Kluyveromyces lactis: one gene and its partner. The protein of the gene in region 1 purifies or fractionates together with the protein of each later gene. This does not show direct contact. Links are inferred from orthologs where the notes say so. Each region holds a gene or a part of one and is shown on either strand. Other genes may lie near its edges.

Evidence for each region. The genes of interacting proteins can lie anywhere in the genome.
Region 2: the proteins of MSO1 (region 1) and SEC9 purify together in Saccharomyces cerevisiae (affinity purification with western blotting, with the first as the bait; 4 studies listed by BioGRID). This does not show direct contact. The link is inferred for Kluyveromyces lactis from reciprocal best matches to the Saccharomyces cerevisiae genes MSO1 and SEC9.

Annotation. Positions count from the first base shown.
Region 1 is NC_006039.1:1,659,439-1,667,364, reverse strand, and holds MSO1 (Mso1p), read left to right. Parts: upstream 1-4,257; coding exon 4,258-4,857; downstream 4,858-7,926. Other genes in the region: BRE5 (Bre5p), read left to right, coding at 1-51; OCA4 (Oca4p), read left to right, coding at 464-1,489; KLLA0_C18755g (uncharacterized protein), read right to left, coding at 2,097-2,453; LYS9 (saccharopine dehydrogenase (NADP+, L-glutamate-forming)), read left to right, coding at 2,518-3,855; KLLA0_C18711g (uncharacterized protein), read right to left, coding at 4,881-5,045; KLLA0_C18700g (uncharacterized protein), read left to right, coding at 5,232-7,926. UniProt on the Saccharomyces cerevisiae protein: Involved in secretion. Component of the secretory vesicle docking complex.
Region 2 is NC_006040.1:170,557-177,040, forward strand, and holds SEC9 (Sec9p), read right to left. Parts: upstream 4,992-6,484; coding exon 3,321-4,991; downstream 1-3,320. Other genes in the region: MDM1 (Mdm1p), read right to left, coding at 1-459; TMA23 (Tma23p), read right to left, coding at 680-1,228; ECL1 (Ecl1p), read left to right, coding at 2,561-3,007; TIF6 (translation initiation factor 6), read right to left, coding at 5,351-6,088. UniProt on the Saccharomyces cerevisiae protein: Component of a SNARE complex that may be the effector of SEC4 function in exocytosis.

The DNA of each region.
Region 1 (7,926 bases):
ACGCTTAAAAAGAGCTCAGTGAAATCCCGTAATGACAAATCAAAGAACTAATCTCATGTACTTTAATCGTAAACCCAAATCATCTCAAACCTAAATGAAAGGCGTGATAAAACCATATTATAAAAAAAAAAACCATAAAAAAAATTAACTAAAACGATGAAACTATGAGTCGGGGAAAACTTGTTAAATATATCCGTATGTAACCTATCCACATGTACATTTTATATATTTCCCTCTCACTATAAGCATATCACCGAAACATTATTGTTGTCTTCCCTTTTTGTTCCTTCTTTCTCTAAGTCACAACCCTTTGAAGTTGGTTCGAGCTTGATGAAATTTAAAGGAACAAAGATCTTCATGTGCACATCACAATGATAGAAAAGGTGATTGGCAGAAAGATCAGTGCTGAAGCCAAGGGGACAGGTGAGGAGATACAACTCTAGGGTCATAGAAACCATCAGCTATGTTAGTTCCTCCAGCGAATTTCGGGATTCCCGAGGAAGGTATCTATCGATGCAGTAAACTTGAGACCATTAACCTATCATTTTTGGAGACTTTGAATTTAAATACGATCATATTCATCGGTGGTCAAATCCCGAGTAATTTCTTCAAAGAGTTCTTCGCCACTAACGGCATAGATTACTTTGTCATTAAGACCTCTGGTGATTCGAGTTCTTTGGTAGCCCCAGATCACAAAAAGCGTCAATCTTCTGCGAATCATGGTGAGACGAGACGGAAGAGTCTTTGTGATAACTGTCACTACAGTTACACACTCACGGACCAAGACGATTTGATGCTAATCAAGAGTCAGAGCATCCGGCGAATATTCCGGATACTGTTAGATGTCTCGTACCATAACGTATTGTTAGTGGATAAGACGTCCGCTGTGATTGGAATATTGAGAAAGATTCAGAAATGGGAACTATCCTCGATAATCAGCGAGTACAGGCTATTCACAGGGAAGAACAAGAACTACTTTGCAGAGACGTTTTTGGAATTGATAGATATACGGCTAATACAAGAAGAAGAGCAACCAAACCAGCAGGAATCCCACGATACAGATTCTTCCACCGTGACTTCCCGGATGGATAATCTTTCAGTGGAAGAAAAGCAACAGCAAGAACAGCAACAAATACAAACTGTGCAAGAATCTGATCTATCCATGCCTCCGGAGTTACCTCAGCACATGATGAGCATGATCCATACGATGGAACTGAAACCAGAAGAGGATGCAAAGGAACATGAGCTTCCGATAAAACACTCCAGGTCTGCATTAGGCATTTTCGGAAACAGATATCGTTTGGCATTCAACAAGAGAGAACGCAATGAGTACACCTACTATCAGGCATCGAACGTTAAAAACGCATTTTCAATCGGAGTCCCCACTGAAGAGGCATTGCCGAACTGGTTCAAGTTCCAAAGAGACATTTGGGATCAACAGCATGCCGTTGAAGAACACAATCACTACAAAGAGAGTATATTTATATGATGATGCTCTAAAGTAATAAAAAAAAAACAAACACAGACACACGGCTGGTTACTGTTTCTGGCCTTCAAAATAGAAAGGTTGTGAATAAGGTAAGAACGATTAAATTCTTGATCAACAAATCCACTCTGTGGCCAGCCTCCTAACGCTTACAGGACGCTTTCGCATCATGTTGGAAAGAATTAAGAGTCGATATATGGGATTCGTTTACCATGGCTATCTAGAATAATACGTCACAGACATGGAGATAAAGTCCCATGCTGTTTAAGAAACAGAAAGAATATGTATGTGTACAAATATGTAATGTTGTAAAGTGGTGATGAGATGAGATGGGATGCAATTCTGCTACGGACCTTTTTAAAGTGAAAAATTTTTGAAAAATTTTTGTATGGGCGATGAGATGAGCTTTGAGATAAATACACGAAGTGTGTTCATGCCCTAAGGGGGTATGCCAGTGGTGGTGGTGGTGGTAGTGGCCTACACGCCACTACCACCAACTTGATTTCCCCATACCTCAACGTAAATCACGTGCATACCAACGTACACTGACTATCCCATACATGTCTTCAAGTCTTTATCGGAACTCAGTTCCCTCCTCATCGAGCTTCATTCAGTTTGTAGAATGACTAATAGATGGTGGGTTGTCCCCAGACCAGTGGTCCCCCCGTCTGGCTGTCTGGCTGTCTAGCTTTGCCGTTTCGATTGTACCTCGGCTGTCGAAATTCCAATGGAATTTCGCAAAACACATTGGTGAACCGGAACCTGTAAAATTCCATCTCAATGGCACATCGCTCGAGATGGATAACGACAGAGAGCAGGAATAGTGAGTTTTTGATGAGCTGCTACTACTGGTACTACTCTTGTTGATTTGATGATTTACTGACTTTTGTAATATATATATATATATATATATAGTGACTATATAAGTTGAGGTAACAGAATTGCAACCTGCTATCTTTCCTGCCATAATAGACAGATCATCATCTCTTCAAGAAAATACTCTTTCTGTGATCGCAACCAACGTATTAACGATGTCTAAAGTTTTACTTCTTGGATCTGGTTTTGTTGCTCAACCTGTTGTCGACGTTTTGTCCGCTACTGATGGTATTTCAGTCACCGTCGCTTGTAGAACTTTGAACAAAGCTCAAGCTTTGGCCAAAGCTTCTGGTTCTAATGCCATCTCATTGGACGTTTCCGATCCAAAACAATTGGACGCTGCATTGGCTGACCACGATTTGGTGATCTCATTGATCCCATACACTTACCATCCAGCTGTGGTTCAATCTGCTATCAGATTGAAGAAGAACGTTGTTACCTCTTCATACATTTCCGATGCCTTAAGAGAATTGGAACCTGCTATCAAGGAAGCTGGTATCACCGTCATGAACGAAATTGGTTTGGACCCTGGTATCGACCATTTGTACGCTGTCAAGACCATTGACGAAGTGCACAAGGTTGGTGGTAAGATCAAGTCGTTTGTGTCGTACTGTGGTGGTCTACCAGCTCCAGAAGATTCTGACAATCCATTGGGTTACAAGTTCTCTTGGTCTTCAAGAGGTGTCTTGTTGGCATTGAGAAACAGTGCTAAGTACTGGAAAGATGGTAAGATCGAGACTGTGTCATCCGAAGATTTGATGGCCTCAGCTAAGCCTTACTTCATCTACCCAGGTTACTCTTTCGTATGTTACCCAAACAGAGATTCCACTTTGTTCAAAGAATTGTACCATATTCCAGAAGCTGATACCGTCATCAGAGGTACTCTAAGATATCAAGGTTTCCCAGAATTCGTGAAGGCTTTGGTCGATATCGGTATGCTAAAGGACGAACCAAACGAATTGTTTGCTTCTCCACAGCCTTGGAACAAGGCTCTTGCACAATACTTAGGTGCTGCTTCAGAAAAGAAAGAGGATCTAATTAAGGCCATCGATTCAAAGACACAATGGAAATCAGACGACGATAGAGAAAGAATCCTTTCTGGTCTTGCTTGGTTAGGTTTGTTCTCTGACAAGCCATTCAACGCTAGAGGTAATGTCTTGGACACCTTGTGTGCTACTCTAGAGGAATTGATGCAATACGAAGAAGGTGAAAGAGATTTAGTCGTCTTGCAACACAAGTTCGGTATCGAATGGGCCGACGGAACGACTGAAACTAGAACCTCTACTCTAGTGGACTACGGTAAGGTCGGTGGATACTCCTCAATGGCTGCTACTGTCGGTTACCCAGTCGCCATCGCTACTAAATTCGTCTTGGACGGTACCATCAAGGGCCCAGGTTTGGTTGCTCCATACTCTCCAGCTATCAACGATCCTATCATGAAGGAACTAAAGGAGAAATACGGTATTTACCTAAAAGAGAAAACCATTGCTTGAAGCACTCATATACGTTGGTTTGAAATCTAAAGAATGCTCTCTCTGGTAGTGAATTGCATGATTCTTTTTCCCATCTTCTATATATATTAACGTGTACGTATGTATATCAACAAAGTAGCTATATTGCTTTAAATCCCGTTATCTTTGGAGTTACTATTTGTGGCACGTATCGTACTGGTGGGTGTTGTCTATAGTGTGTTATTGGAGTGTTCTTTTTGTATCAGTTACAGTTTGGCATCTCTTCTCATATAATTATAATTAGTTACATATTATAATACTCTCAACAACTACTTGTAAGAAAACATACAGGACTAACAAGGATCAACTGAACGAAGCGAATCAGAACATTTGTCCATCGGTATACTTTACATATTCAGCAGTGAAACATCTTTGGAGCCGATCATGTCGAATAGCAATGGGTCCGGTAATCTGTGGAGCAAAGTGAAGTCAGGAACGAAATCGTTATCCTCATCCATTCAACATCTAGCAGTAAAAACTGAACATGATGGCGATACACCAAATTCAACGTTGGTACACAAAGCTCTAGTGAAGTATTACTCTAGCCAGGAACCGTTCCAAGGGTTCCCGGCATGGTTAGGTCATACTGGAGACAGACCAGAGGAAAAGTTGTCTGGGTCTGTGAAGCAAAAGATCACTGGACCGTTCTCTTCTTCTAATAGGCATAGTAGTGGTGCAGAAAAGGTTTCACAATCAGAAATACCTGTTTCAATAGAGGAATCCAGGTCCGTACCTCAAAGAAGGACTCCCGGGTCTTCTGCTTTCAGAGGTCTCGTATCTTCTTCAAATTCGAATGTGACGTCGCAGGCGTCGTCCACATTATCAAATACGTCTCATAATTTCATGAGCGAGCCTTCATCAGGTACCGCACCAAGGCCTACAGTGTCTACTCAATCGAGCAAGTACGATTCTGTTTCATCTAGACTAATGCAGAGCAGACTTCGCATGAATAGAATCAATTCCAGTTCCAACTTGGATGCTTAAAGTTTATTCAATGCTATGTAGATTCAAGTAAGACAAAACAGCACATTAGAGTGTTGTATTTCATAGTTGCCAGTTAGAGATTGATACAATATGAGGTCTTTGGGGCCATACTGCGGGTCCTCTTGTATCCTTTCTACGTATTTCGCATCGAATTTGTAGACCCCGGTTAAAAGCGACCTGGAGTTCATCAAACCTGAAGTCACAGAGGAAACACTTGGAATAAAGGAAAAGACTCTCACAAAGGGTAAAGACAATAATTTTACGCTGCAGTTTCAGTTACAGCCATTGATTAGGCCAGATATACTACCTGCAATCCATTGTTATTTCAGATATTCAGAACCTTTGGAATTGTGAATCCGAACTGAACTGAAGGAATGTCGAAGATTAAGATAGCCATTGATAGAGGTGGTACTTTCACGGACTGTATTGCAAACCCTGGGTCGGGCAATCCAGAGGATGATGTTGTTATCAAATTGTTATCGGTAGACCCTAGGAACTACCCAGACGCTCCATTGGAAGGTATAAGACGTTTACTCGAGATTTGTCAAGGTAAATCGATACCTAGAGGTCAGAATCTAGATATCTCTGGTGTTGATACCATTAGGATGGGTACCACACTAGCAACCAATTGTGCATTGGAAAGAACCGGAGAAAGATGTGCGTTAGTCACTACTAAAGGTTTCGAGGATGCATTAGTAATTGGAGATCAGACTAGGCCTAATATCTTTGATTTGGCTATCAAGAGACCTAGACCTCTATATGAGACTGTTGTAGAAGTCAATGAGAGAGTAACGCTAGCAGATTATGCTCAAGATCCAAAGGGTAAGAGGACTCGGCCGGAATCAGAAGATGATCTCGTGTTAGGCAAGTCTGGAGAAACTGTTAGAGTGTTGCAAAGAATTAATGAAGAAGAAGTTCGAACTACTTTGAACATTTTGTATGCTACCGGGATTAGATCATTGGCCGTTGCCTTTTTACATTCATATACATACCAAGAACATGAACAAAAGGTTTATAAGATCGCTAAAGAGATTGGTTTCACTCATGTTTCCTTATCTTCTGAATTATCGCCTATGATCAAGTATATTCCGAGGGCAAATTCAGCCGTTGCTGATTCTTACTTGACTCCAGTGATCGAATCGTACCTCGAAGGAATTGAGTCAGGTTTGGACAAAGCAGAAGACACTAGTATTCAATTTATGCAATCAGATGGTGGTCTTGTTGATGCACATAAATTTTCAGGTTTAAGGGCCATTCTCTCGGGACCTGCAGGCGGTGTGGTGGGATATTCTGCGACATGTTACAATCCAGAGAACAAGATCCCATTAATCGGGTTTGATATGGGTGGAACATCTACAGATGTCAGCAGGTATGGTAATGGTATCTTGGAACATGTGTTCGAAACCACCACTGCTGGAATCGTGATTCAAACTCCACAACTAGACATCAATACAGTTGCTGCAGGTGGATCTTCCAGATTATTTTGGAGCAATGGTCTTTTCAAAGTGGGCCCTGAATCAGCTACAGCGCATCTGGGTCCTGCATGTTACCGTAAAGGAGGCCCATTGACCATTACGGATGCGAACTTGTATCTTGGTAGATTAGTTCCAGAATTTTTCCCACATATCTTCGGTCCTAACGAAGATGAGCCCTTGGACGTTGAAGCTTCTAGGGTATTATTCGAAAAGATTACTGAAGAGATCAACAACGATCTAAATTCCTCGATGAGCGTTGATGAAGTTGCCTATGGGTTCTTAAAAGTTGCGAACGAGTCAATGGCTAGGCCAATCCGTACTTTGACCGAGGCTAAAGGACATGTGATTTCGCAGCATCGTCTTATTTCCTTTGGTGGGGCTGGTGGTCAACATGCCGTATCCATCGCTGAAACATTAGGAATTGATACAGTTTTGATTCATCGTTATTCTTCCATTCTTTCTGCGTATGGCATGTTCCTTGCGGATGTGGTTGAAGAGTCTAGAGAGCCTTGTTCTTACGTGCTAGATGAAAGTAATCGCGAAACAAATGCGTTGATTGAGGATAAATTCAATAGGCTCACATCCAAATGTATTGACACGCTAAAGCAACAAGGCTTCAACACTGAGACTATCAGATTGGAGAAATATTTGAACTTGAGATATGAGGGTACAGAAACCGCTTTAATGGTCTTAGAATCGGGAGATACAAGCTACACAAACCAATTCCATGAACTACATAAAAAGGAGTTTGGATTCAAGTTTGAGGATAAATCGATCATAGTGGATGATGTGCGAGTAAGGGCCACTGGTGTATCCAACGTAAGAGAAGAAGAGTACATTGATTCTCAACTACAGAGATTGGTAGCAAAGGCTGCTCCTGAACCTTTATTCAGGAAACCTGTTATGTTCGGTGAAGGGTGGGTTGAGACTCCTATGTACAAATTGGATGATTTGGAGATCGGCACTAAAATACAAGGACCTGCCATCATAGCTGATGGTACCCAAACTAACTTATTGACACCAAACTCAACGGCTACGATTTTAAAATCACATCTGTTTATCAAGATCGAAAAGAACACTAAGACCAGTAAGGCTCTCTCAGAAGCTTCAGAAACAATTGATCCCGTGTTATTATCAATCTTTGGACACAGGTTCATGGATATTGCAGAGCAGATGGGTAATCAGTTGAGAAAGACGTCTGTATCGACAAACGTGAAGGAAAGGCTAGATTTCTCTTGTGCACTATTTGACAAAGATGGTAACTTAGTGGCTAACGCACCTCACGTTCCAGTGCACTTGGGTTCGATGTCAACTTGCATAAAGATGCAAGCAAAACTCTGGGAAGGTAAATTAAAACCAGGCGACTCAATAATGACGAACCATCCGGAGATGGGTGGTACACATCTACCGGACATTACTGTAATCACACCAGCGTTCGACCCCAAAGATGCGACTCGTATCTTGTTCTATGTAGCGTCAAGAGCGCATCATGCAGATATCGGCGGATCCTTACCTGGTTCCATGCCCCCATTTTCAAGAGAGTTGTACGAGGAAGGTGCCGCCATATACAGTGAGAAGTTGGTAGAAGATGGTA
Region 2 (6,484 bases), on another chromosome or scaffold:
AGTGTAATGTTTCGTCAATAAAGGTAGTATTCTTAAAATCATCAACTCACAAAGGTCAACATCTGAGAGAGCAATCGAAAATCGTATTATGGCCTCTTTTAACACCGATTTCACAGTATTGGGAAATTTGTCTGATTCACTGATTGATCCAAACCAGGATAAAATGAAATTGCTGATGATGTTATTGAGTAAGATATCAATTTCTTTTGATAATGCTTCGTTATTGGGGAACAAGGCTTCTTGACCGGCAAAATTATCATCATCTGAAGTTTTGGTAATAGGTTTATCACCTGTGAACCTTAGCGTTGGTTTTGTTGGGAGCACCCGAGGTTGTTCATTTAATGCAAGATATATCCAAATGATTGACAAAAGAGACGCAACCGATAGGACAAACAAACACTCCCCCCACCCCAAGAAGAAGGGAACCACGAACAAAACATGCCACTTGAAACTGGGCATTTAGAAATTCAATATATGGACTGCTGCCAATGGAATGCTGTTAAGCCGCGTCTTGGGCAGTATCTTTTCGACAGTGGAATAATTTAGCTTGTTTACACTATTTGTTGAAAACCTTGAAATGAACTAAATGCGTTTAAATCGTCTATCTAACGAGAATTTTTATATACAACATGTACGTACAATGGAGGGATGATGCTGCAAGAAGAAAATAAAGAGAACATCAATGTGAACTTTTACGCTTGTGTGTACCCTTCTTATCCTTCTTATCCTTCTTGTCTTTCCTATGCTTATCCTTCTTGTCTTTCTTATGCTTACTCTTTGGCTTGTCAACCTTATGCGACTTCTTCTTCTTCTTCTTCTTCTTCTCGTCTTTGCTCTTTTTATCTTTCTTCGATGTCACTTCAGAAACAGCCAGTTTAACTATAGTAGATCCATTGTTGGACGGCAGATCTGTTTTAATGGTACCTTTCAACACTTCACCTCTAACAAATGATCGATAAAGTGGTGAATCGCTCTTTGATATGGAAGAAGCGACGACTTCGTTTTGTTTGAACGAGATCCCATCGGACCCGCTTTTGATGTCCAAGTTTCGAAGTTGTCCGTCGAACAAACGTTCCCACCAGGCTTCACTGTCATCATGTCCTGGTGCACATCCAAGCCCTTTCTTATCTTTCTTGTGTTTCACAAGAATCGGTTTTTTCAGTCCTCCGTTCCGTAAGGCCTCACCTTCTTGCCAGCCATACGATTTAAGGTACCCTTTACTGTCCATGGGTAATATATGGTGGAACTGAGGTATAATTATCGGGGATTCACAATGGTAGATCAGCAAACAGATCGGTAATCTTACCAATGTCAATGTCACTTTAATTGCTGTATATCATCTTCTCATCTCATCTCATCGCGAGTTGAAGAATTTCTTTTCAAAGAGAAACATTTCGATTGTGGTCACGTGAACACAGTCTTCATCATTACCCGGAGCAATAGCATCACGTGCCACGGTTTTTCTTCTTTTCCTGTGTCATTTAAGGTTGTCACCACACTGCCAAGACTTACTCTATGGAGGATCTAAAATTACTTAACACATGGGGCTACACCGTGGCTGGCTCCATGAGTTGAGGCCATGAAACGTGTACGTTTCATGCTCCGCCTGAGACAAAACCACAAAACCCCAAGAAACCTCTAATTAATTGGTATTCAAAACACACAACTCCACAGATAGACACGGCGTGTGTGTATTCTGAGTGGGCTTTAAACTCTAAACTCTAAACTCTAAACCATGTACATCAAGATCTCCGGCACGTGACCTGTGTTTAAATAATCACTCAACGAGCATATGGCACCTTGAGTGATTATAAATCCCCAATTTTAGCAAACAGGGCTGGCTGGATCGATGCCCGGTCCGAACAAAAACGTGTAGAAAACCGTTTTAAATCAGTAAACAACGAGAACGGGCGAAGACTTGCTAAAAATACACTGACAAACGTGCGTATGTGATGCTAACACCGTTCCTTTCGCTTCCTTTCGTTTCGCTGTTGCGATGAGCAAAATGGTGAAAAATTTTTTTTTTCACCTTCCCACGGTGTGGACAATGGCGTGGCTCATTCCGACCTACTGAGAAAGAGACCTCAGAGAAAGACTCCAGAGGACTCGAGTGTCATCGACAGCGATCCTGGGCGATTCGGAATGGGGCCTAGGGCTAGACACTAGGAAACCTGCGTCTTTACGATCTTGTGTCATGTGTCATGGTGCCACGATTTGTGTGTAATGACGGAGAAAAATTCCAACTCTGGCGGTGTATGTGTGCTCGTGTGCCCTGAGAACATTTTAGACGTTTTGAACATTCTCGCATGTGTGTGTGGTCATTATTATTTCATTACCTAATTGCTAAAACTCAGCTCACCTTTAGTTGAGATTAAGGCACGATGTCCATAATCTTTTTATATAATACATATATATAAGCAATATATATATTGGGTATATGGTGAAAATAGTAGCTGAGGGGATTTCAAGTGTAATCACGAGATAGATAGGGAAAGAGAAAACCTTTTCACAAGCCAGTGAAGCCGAGGATACCTGTCTGCGCAATACCTACTAGTTTACGATGTCAGCATTCAACGATTATTGTACCGTTTGTGGCCAATTGATTGAACGTGGTAATTGCGATGCTCAATTGGATAATGACAGGTTATACTGTTCTTCTCAATGTCAAGAAAATGATAGAATGACCATTGAGAATTTAAAGTTAACCAATGAGTTGGTCGGTACTCCTGCTTCTCTCATCAGATCCCCTCTTTTACAACCTTTGGATCGAAGCACCGGAAGTAGTACGTCTTCCACGATATATGATCTTCTAGATCGAGATCAAGATGATATGGATTTCGATCTGGAATTGTCACTGGATAGGAACACATTAGGACATGGGGCTTCACTTCCGATGATGACGATACCGCGTTCTGTCGTTGGGAAGGATCAAGAGTTTGTCAGTTACACGGATCATACTGCTGAGGATAACTACAAGCTTTGGTTGAACTATAATTTGACAGGATAGTTAAGAGGATTCCTGAACATCACAATAACTTTGCAATACTTAAACACAAACACAACACAAACACACTCACTCTCTTTATGAACAACACGCTATGATTATATGGGCTCTCTTATGCTGGCCCCTTTTCCTCCTCCAGGTGGAACTCCTGGCACAATCGCTTTCACACATTTTCTACATCGAAGATAGATAAGATACAGCAGTACTTTCTGATATTATATAGAATATGTTTATGATGTATACCCCCGCCATGGCGACTTTAACGATCTCACATTTTGCATTTTTTAATTAACATTTTATTTATAAGACTCTTCCTTCATCTTATATTGGTTAACCTAGTCGTGTTCACATGGATCTTGATATCCAAATCATCGGTGCTCTCCTCAATCCGCTTGATCCGATCTTGTTGAGAATCTATCTCCTTACCAGTGGTAATCGCAAGTTTCTTTAACCTACCACTGATTTGTCCAATCTTATCCAAGTTCTTGTCGATTTCCATTTCCATTTCATCATCTTCTTCGTCGTTCTCGAACTGATACCTTTTAGCCTTCTCTAAGATCTGCTGGTTCTGGTACCGATCACGAACTTCAGATGGACCATGTCCACTCGACATGGCATTCTCGATACGTTTCGTACTTTGGTGTAACGTCGACGTGATATCCTCTTGGTTTTGTTTGTCCTGCATCCTTTGTAACTTTATCTTATCTTCCGCTTCGCGTGCACGTCTCTTACTATGGAACGGATTCGATACATGGACCGCTAAAATGTTCCGGTTTAACTTCTTCAATTCACTCACTTTATCATCGGCAACTCTGTTCTGGATTTGCATTAAATTCAGGTTTCTTTCCACATTGTTCAATTTCTCCGATTGATGTCCTAACATACCGATGGTATTCATACCAGCTAATTCAGCATCCTGTGCCATCTTTAGCGTGTTTCTCGTACTGGCAACTGAACTCTGTTTTGTAAATTTGATCTGTTGCTTGATCCCATCTACTTCTTCATCTTCTTCTTGTTGTTCAGCACGCTGACTTTCTTTTTGAATATCTTCAAATGTCTGATAACCCTTTGCAGGGGTCCCAATACCCTCGTTCTCATGAATGGAATTGTTTAAATCATCATCATCACCGTTGCCATTGCGTTGAACTCCCTTAGGATTATCAATTTCTGGCCTAATTGTCTCATTGAGATCTATTTCGTCATCAGCTCCGGACCGTTCGAAATTAAATTCACGGTCGTTTGATCTGGTTGCAGATGTAGAGTGACGAGGTGAGGCATAAGATCTACTTGAAACATCAGAAGCCGCCACATTTGGAGTAAAGCCCTTATATGCATTCACGCTACCAGAATTTGAATACGAATTTGTTCCATACGGATCCTGACTGTTCATGTTAGCATAAGGGTTACTAGGTCTCTGACCGGTAGCACCATTATTATTGCTGCTAGATGCCTGCGGAGACGGACTTGCGTATGTATCACCACTATAGCTGTTACTGCCATAGCTTTTGTTGCTGTAGCTATTATTCATTGATCCATACGGGTTATTGTTCTGCTGCAGTGGCGCGTTGTAACCGGTATCATATGGAGAAGCACTTGCATTTCCATAGGGAGAGGAATCACTGTTCCCATACGGAGATGCATTATCATTGCTATATGGATCAACGTAGTTGCCCGTGTGTCGAGCGCTGGCAGAAGCGTTTCTATTGTTAATCATGGAGACTTCATCGTAAGGAGAGTTGTTCAAATCATCCAACTGCTGTCGCTCAGAAGGCTGAGCTCCAGGATTCGCATATTGTTCATATCCTTCTGGTGCATAGACCTTACTTTTGACCTTATCGTTAGCAAACTTCCCATATGCGGCAAACTTTTCTCTTCTATTTGATGGTGTAGTCTTGGTGGAAATTCCTAACTCGTTCAAATATTCACGGTTTTCTTCGGGGGTAGCCTCTGGAGGTGGCTTGATCTTGAAGAACTTCTTAATACCCATGGTTTCACTACGGTAACAGCAACCTTTTAACCTTATTTGATCGATGTTCCCCTTTTACCTTGTCTTTACCTATCTAAAAATTGATGTTAAAGGAACTACAACTTTTCGATTCTTTTGTTTCATTTAAATTTAAAGGTTTCTTTTGGGTCCAGTAGTACTTAGTGAACCACGATGCACAAAATACAAAAGAAAGAAGGAAATAAACAGTATGGGGTTGATGCAAATGCCAAAGAGCAATCAAAATAAAAATTGTACTATACAGATCCAGAGATATACACCAATATTACATTAAAAAATGGGGCGATAATGGGGGCCAAAACGATATAAATGACAGAAGAGAGCGATTGTATCAATTCCTTTTATGAGTAAGTTTCGATCAAAGTATCACGCAAGTTACCAGAGATAGCTTCTGGTTGAGCGTCTTGTAGACGGAAGATAGATTCGATCACACTTAATTCTGGAGCGGTGGTATCTAGACCAGTAACTGCCAAATAGTCGTTCACGACCATACCAGCACCGACGACTTGCGAACCACGGTTCACAGTACCAGCAACTAGTGGGACTTGCAACAAAGAGGAAAGTTCTTCTTGGTCTTGTACTGTAGTCTGAGGATGCACTAGACCACCTTGGTTAGACAACGCACAATATGAACCAACAAGAACGTTACCCGAAATTGTTTGACGGAAAACTTCAACACCTAAGACATCGGCAATCAACTCCTCAGTTTCTCTGTCGATGTCTGGATGAACCAAAGCAACATAATCATTACAACAGATAACATTACCTAACGCAGATAATCTCTCCTCAACTCTTTGAACCTTCACAGCATCTGGCAAACAGTTTCTCAAATGTTGTAATTCTTGGTCGGTAGTTTGAGTTGGAACCAATAACCCTCTACGGTTACCAGCAGTCATACGACCAACAATCCTCGTACCTGCAATAGTGGTATGAGCAATAGGAATAGCATCTCCTAATTCGGCTTCAAACGCAGAATAAAAGTTCTCCGAACCACCAAGTGCCACCAAACAGTACGAGTTAGTTAGCTTCGAAAACACACCAATTTCGTTAGAATTCTCAAATTGTGTCCTAGTCGCCATAATTTCAGTTGATTTATCTGCAGTGGTATACTGGCGTAACAAGCAGAACTAGTGTTTATAAGTCAGAAGAACTGTACTAATTCAAGCCGAATCAACCATCCGCAAGATGAGATGAGATGAGCTTAGAAATTATCCAGTGAAATCTTTAAAATTTTCCATATTGCAGTGTTTTAAAGAAACGAAACACAAATTAGGTTACCCGGAGAAGAACACACATACAGTACTATATGGGTATCTCGTACCCTTATAGATGTATAAATTTGATCAGTGAGAGTTATCCAACAACCGTTCGAAGCTTAGACGAGAAATAGCTCTCCATTTCACATTCTTTCTTCTGATCACCAGACGATTCAACGCAGGGTATACCGTACACCTGAGCGTGTTTTATTTGTTACC